Linked DNA regions of Macaca fascicularis. The protein of the gene in region 2 purifies or fractionates together with the protein of the main gene of each other region. This does not show direct contact. Links are inferred from orthologs where the notes say so. Each region holds a gene or a part of one and is shown on either strand. Other genes may lie near its edges.

Evidence for each region. The genes of interacting proteins can lie anywhere in the genome.
Region 1: the proteins of POLR2B (region 2) and POLR2M purify together in Homo sapiens (affinity purification with mass spectrometry; 3 studies listed by BioGRID and IntAct, counting the BioPlex papers as one, with this or other methods). This does not show direct contact. The link is inferred for Macaca fascicularis from reciprocal best matches to the Homo sapiens genes POLR2B and POLR2M.

The regions. Positions count from the first base shown.
Region 1 is NC_088381.1:34,173,232-34,176,510, reverse strand, and holds the end of POLR2M (protein GRINL1A), read right to left. Parts: intron 1,856-3,279; coding exon 1,712-1,855; 3' UTR 580-1,711; downstream 1-579.
Region 2 is NC_088379.1:76,866,547-76,870,202, reverse strand, and holds part of POLR2B (DNA-directed RNA polymerase II subunit RPB2), read left to right. Parts: intron 1-1,406; coding exon 1,407-1,550; intron 1,551-1,790; coding exon 1,791-1,930; intron 1,931-2,032; coding exon 2,033-2,144; intron 2,145-3,656. UniProt on the Homo sapiens protein: Catalytic core component of RNA polymerase II (Pol II), a DNA-dependent RNA polymerase which synthesizes mRNA precursors and many functional non-coding RNAs using the four ribonucleoside triphosphates as substrates.

The DNA of each region.
Region 1 (3,279 bases), on a different chromosome or scaffold from region 2:
ATTTTGTATAGATGTGATTATTTTAAGATGTTAATCACATCACTATTTACAGATTACATTATAATAAATAATCAAATTGCTGAATAGGGAATCAGTCTTAAAGTTATGGTATATCCATGAAATAAAATATCCTACAGCTATCTAAAAAGCAAGATACTTAATATGGGAAAATGTTGACAATACATAGAGCAGACCACAAAGCAATGTACATTATGATTGCATTTTTGAGAAAATAAATGTATAACTATGATTAGAAAAATAAGTAAAACCACAACATCAAAATGTTAACAGAGGTTATCTCCCTAGGTGGCAGGATTACAGGGAACTGTGTGTGCAGGCACATGAACTCTTCCATATCATCCAGCTTTCCACAAATAACATCAAATTTTATGCTGCAAAATCATTTACTATTAGTTTTAAGAACTAAAACTAATGAGACTCTTAGGTCAGTATACTTTTCACATTTGCTTGAGGTGGGTGAGGACTGAAAGCAATAACTACACCTGGAAGCAAATGTGAATAGTCTTTTTCAAAAGTAAAAGTATTTAATTAAGTCCCAGTAAAACATCACCATTAGCATTTGAAGTTGTTCTAATTAATATTTTATTCTTCAACACTTTTAAAGACTCCAATACATTAGACAAAGAATTTTTTGATAATGTAAGTTAATTTCTCTGGAGACAACCATATAATCCTCTAAAATGACATGAACATTTATATATGAGACTGAAGTTTCTGCAGTCTATATCTGCCTCTTTGGGGGGAAAAAAGTAAAGTACTGACAATTGTAACAACAATAACAAAAAAAATGCTTTCCTTACCAAACATTAATGTTCTGTACATGAACCTATCATCTGTGACAGCAAGGAACTCAAGCCAGGTGATGCACAAGCCTTCACCTAGCTCAGTTAGCCTGGACTTTTCCTGTACCAGATTTGCCTGAAGTAACATGAGGTTATTTAAAAAGACCTCCACCTAGATTGCAGTGAGCCAAGATAGTGCCCCATTGCACTCCAGCCTGGGCGACAGAGCAAGACTCTAAAAAAAAAAAAAAACCCAAACCAAACAAACAAACAAAAAAAAAAACTTCCACCTTCCAGCATCTACTCAAAAGGGAATTCCTTCCTAATCAGAAGAGAGAGAACATTCTTCCTAAGGGAAGACAGAAAAAGGAGAAGAGCATTTGTTAAGCATTCTCCATGCATGTCTTCCTAAGTATTTCACATCCAATGTCTCAATAACCCCATGCAAACATGCATACAATTCTTTAGACTGCTCCCTTCATTACCCAAAAGAGAAGGGAACTATGTCTTCCTAATTGATTTTGGGTGCCTGGAACTAAGTATTTCACTGAAAGACATGTAATAAATGCTATTTGATAGTTAAGAATAAGGAAAAAAGCAAAGTTCTCTCTTTTCATTTGGCTTAAAGAAAAAAAGTATGTTCTACTATATACTAAAATATCAGACCAATACACAATATATTGCAAAATTTTAATACCATGTGGTTAAACACAATATTCAAAAATTAAACTTTTCAAGCACATGAAAGTCATCTTCTGAAAGACAAACTGGGATTTTTTTTAATAACTACCTTTGTGTAACTTTATAAAATTACTTCCTCAACAATATCTGACACTGATCTTGATACTAGTTAGAAAGTCTAATGTAAGATGATGACACCTCAACGTCAGTGATTTAGGAGATTATCTTCAGAATTCATCAGAGGACCAATCGTCATCTTCATCCCTTACTTCTCGGTATCTCCCTGAAGACTCCCCTTCTGGATTATAACTCCGCATTTTAATATTCAGTCTTTCAGCTAATTTTTGCGCTGCGAGCTTTGCTTGCATCTCCTTTAAAACAAAGAGCAAAGCAAAAAGTTACACATTCACATCTCTTCAATTTTTCAATGGGAAGTTATCTAGAATCAGCGATATGAGGGGTACTGACACCTCACCGAGTGCTCCCTTGGGCAATACAAGCCTGTTGGCTGTGCCCTATCAGACACAACTGGGTAATGCTTCTGACAGCCACCAGCCTGCTACAGTTGAAGTTACTGACCTCCATTAATATACAACATTGCATTGAAATACATTCCTCTATATAAGAAACTGAGTAATCAGCTTAGCACAACAACAGTTATAAATGCAGATGCATTAAATATGTGGGCACATGTACATGTATACACGCTCACATAACAATGTGACCTATCAAATGTCAAAAATGATTAATATTGTCTAGATTTCTACAACTGACAGAACCTTCTTCCCTAATAAAAATCATGACTTCTGGACTTGGGAATTACATTTCAATGGCAAAATGAAAATTAAGAAATTAATACTAAAAAGCTGACTATTCCTCTCCAAATAAAGTCCTACAGCAACTAATATCTAATAAAAAGTCCAAGTAAATTTCAGACACTGGCAAAGTACTTAAAAACTGCTAAGGACTTCACCACCAACTCATGGTAGGTGGCAATGTCATTCCTAATTCTGTTCTTCCCTTTTCTCATGCTTTCTTGAGTTTCTTGATGTCTTCCTCTTCAAGCCATGAATATGGGTAAGTAAAAGTGGGAGCTATTACCTCTGCCAAGAAAACCAATTTAAAGATAAAGGGTTTAATTCAACCTAAAAATATCTTAGGATGGGCATTTAAGAGCCCAGAGACAATAAATACTTCCTCAATGCTACGGTCATAACTAGGCAGTAATTTTAATGCACTGAGAGAAAGAAATATGGGTTTTTTGAAAAAGAGCACCTTGAAAATGCCAATCCATGCCAAGGCTTTTATGAAAAGCCAAGGCAGATTAACAGCCTGTTTTGCTGGGTTTTTTTTGAGACAGGGTCTCACTCTGTCACCCAGACTATACAGAGTGCAGTGGTGCGACTGCAGCTCACTGCAGCCTCGACCTCCTGGGCTCAAGCAATCCTCCCACCTCAGTCTCACGGGTAGCTGGGACCACAGTTGCATGCCACAATGCCCGGCTAATTTTTTGGTAAAGATGGAGTCTAGCTATGTTTCCCAGGCTGGTCTCGAACTCCTGAACAGCCTGGTGTGATACTGGCTGGTACACTAGTACCTGACTAAAATCTAGCTAAGCAACACCTAGGAAGTGAGACAGGATACTGTTCTCCTGGAGGCTAAAATTGTTACTAAATACTTCTAAACTTTTCTATTCCCCTGTGGTGCTTCACACTTATTTTCTCCCATCCCATTACTCTGTATACAAACTCTCAACATACAAGTTTAAAGTTCAATGCAAAACACATGGAAACAA
Region 2 (3,656 bases):
CATTTTTGTTCTTTCGGACAGATTCACAGTAATTGGCAGTGTGGAGAAAAGACTTGAGAAGGGCAAGGTTGGTGGCAGGAAGATTGTTGCAACAGCCTGGGGTGAGAAATAATTAGGGACTGGACTAGAGCAGTTTTATAGAGATGGAGAGTAAATTTTAGAAATATTTAGGAAGTAAGTTTCATAAGACTTTGTGATTGATTTCGTTGAACGGTTGAAAACTCCAATGAGTACAGAAAAGAGAATAGTTCTTCCTGGAGGTGGGTCAGATGGCTTTGTAGAGGTGGTATCATTTCACCAGGCAGAGCAGAGTGGAGAAGGGCATTTCATTCTGTGGCAATAGCATGGTCAAAGGCATGGAGGTGAGGGTGTGTGGTGATGTCAGTTGAGTACAGGAGTGTAAGGAGACTAAAGGGAAGGTCGTTTTTGGGGCTTCATTGAGGAGGACTTCAGTGTTGTGCTCTTCAGTAGCCAGTGGCTATCTGTTTAATTTTTAAGTGGGTAAGTGTTTAATAATTCTGGCAAGTGAGGAAGGTAGATTGGAGGGAACCAGGCAGGGATTGGAGGGAACCAGGCAGAGCTGATGGACGTAGTATAGATGAGGGGAAATGGGCTGGTCTATTACTGTGACATTGGGAAGGGAGGGGCTAGGTTTTTTAGAAAATTTGAAAATAGAATTGACAGGGTATGTTTATAGATGTGTGGAAGGAGGAACTTGTAGACAAAAATGATTTTGAGATTTCCAGATTGAGAGAAAGGTGATGCTGCTTATCCATGACAGAAGACTTAGGAAAGAGGAAGGAGGTTTGAGTTATTTAAGGACTAGGGGAAGATGGAGATTTATAAATAATTAATAATACAGAGCTTGAGTTGTCTGCTTTATGTTGCCCTAAATATTATCTTATTTATAAATAACATCTTGGTTAGTATCCTGTAAGTATTGGTAATGGATGTTTGCATTTTTCTATTAGATTCAGAGGCCTCAGTCTGGAAAAAGTAATGAGATGAATTAGTGATGTCTGCTATGATCAAAGGAGTGTGAGTTGGTAGAATTTAACTTAACACTTATTGAATATCTAATGAATGCCAAGTACTGTTTTAGGTGCTGGGATACAACAGAGAATAAAACAATTTTAAAAATTCCCTGCCTTCATGAAACTAATGTCCTAGTGTTTGTTTGGAGACCATACACAGAATGTTTATGTGGTATGTTAGAATGTATTTGCCATCCCTGCTGCAAGTGGCAGGTAAGTTAAGGTGTTAAACAACATTATTCAGGGAAAGAATAGAGAAATGGGGAACAGTTTGATACTCAGTAGATTATGTGTAAAACTTGACTTTGCCTCAGTGTAATACTATGAATCACAGAAATGTCCAGACTTTAAAGATTGGTTATTTTTTTCTAGGTATTAAACCGCCTGACTTTTGCATCTACTCTTTCTCACCTGCGTCGTTTAAATTCTCCTATTGGTAGAGATGGCAAGCTAGCAAAACCAAGACAGTTGCATAATACGTTGTGGGGGATGGTGTGTCCTGCCGAGACCCCAGAGGTAATACATTAGAATTTATATTCAGGACAAAAAGTCAGTGAGTAATTATGTAGGGCATAATTGCTTTTAGAAGTAGATGTTTAAAAAATTATGCAGAGTGGTTTAGAAATAAGATTTTTTTAATAATTGTATTCTTAGAAAGAATAAATCTTGAAATCACATTGAAGGAAAAATGTTTATGGAAAAGAAGTCTGATAGGCATGCAAAATCAGAATGACTAATACTTGGTTTATTTTTTAGGGCCATGCTGTAGGACTTGTGAAGAATTTAGCGTTGATGGCATATATTTCAGTTGGATCTCAACCATCTCCAATTCTGGAATTTTTAGAAGAATGGAGTATGGAAAACTTAGAAGAAATTTCTCCTGCAGCTATTGCTGAGTGTGTATAGATGGAATTAGCTTTTTAAACTGTGGTTAATCTTTAGTTGTTGCTTGGTATAGAATTGTTAAGCATAAAATGCTTTTGCTTTTTCTTTTGTAGTGCAACCAAGATTTTTGTTAATGGCTGCTGGGTTGGAATACATAAAGATCCTGAACAACTTATGAACACCCTAAGGAAATTGCGACGTCAGATGGACATCATTGTGTCTGAAGTAAGAATCTTTAGTTAAGAGGGTGTGGTCTGTGAGATTTTTAAACAAGGCATACGACTAGTGAAAGTTATCTTTGCATTGGCATCTTTTCTTTGAACTTTATTTCCTTGAACTGTAAAGTGTAAATTTAATTATAAGTTATTGCTAGGCCGGGCACAGTGGCTCATGCCTGTAATCCCAGCACTTTGGGAGGCTGAGGCAGGTAGATCACCTGAGGTCAGGAGTTCAAGCACAGCCTGGCCAATATGGTGAAACCTCATCTCTACTAAAAATACAACAATTAGTCAGGCATGGTGGCACGGGCCTGTAATCGCAGCTACTGGGGAGGCTGAGACAGGAGAATCACTTGAACCCAGGAGGTGGGGGTTACAGTGAGGTGAGATCGCACCACTGTACTCCAGCCTGGGTGACAGAGTGGGACTCTGTCTCAAAAAATAAAAAAAAGCCTGGGCATGGTGGCTTATGCCTGTAATCCCAGCACTTTGGGAGGCTGAGGAGGGCGGATCACAAGGTCAAGAGATTGAGACCATTCTGGCCAACATGGTGAAACCCCGTCTCTACTGAAAATACAAAAATTAGCTGGGCGTGGTCATGCGCACCTATAGTCCCAGCTACTCAGGAAGCTGAAGCAGGAGAATTGCTTGAACCCAGGAGGCGGAGGTTGCAGTGAGCCAAGGTCACGCCACTGCACTCCAGCCTGGCCACAGAGCGAGACTCTGTCTCAAAAAAAAAAAAACATTGCTTGCCTTAATCTTTGGATACATGCTTCCAAAAATTTTGACACATTTTAAATTATTAAATTATATTTTAGAACTCAAATTATATTTTAAAGTAAAAATTCTTTTGGGGATCTTTTTATAAAGCTGAGAATACTTTTAAAAAGGGAATAAGCATCTGGGATTTATCCTTTGAATTCAGAGATTCATTAATAAAATGTGATATACCGCTAATAGATTCTTTTATATTTTGGAGGATTTTGGAGGATATTGAAGTGCTTTGGGATTAGGATGGGTTTTTAAAAAATCATTATAATAAGGCCGGGCCTAGTAGCTCATGCCTGTAATCCCAGCACTTTGGGAGGCCGAGGCAGGCGGATTACTTGAGGTCAGGAGTTCAAGACCAGCCTGGCCAACATGGTGAAACCATGTCTCTGCTAAAAATAAAAAAAATCAACCAGGCATGGTGGCATGCACCTGTAGTCCCAGCTACTCGGGAAGCTGAGGCATGAGAATTGCTTGAACCTGGGAGGCAGAGGCTGCAATGAGCAGAGATTGCTCTGTTACACTCCAGCCTGGGTGACAGAGCAAGACTCTGTCTCCAAAAATAAAAATAAAATAATAATTTAAAAAAAATCATTACAGGCCGGGCGGGGTGGCTCAAGCCTGTAATCCCAGCACTTTGGGAGGCTGAGATGGGCGGATCACGAGGTCGGGAGATCGAGACCATCCTGGCTAACACAATGAAACCCCGTCTCTACTAAAAATACAAAAAAATTAGCCGGGTGTGGTGGCG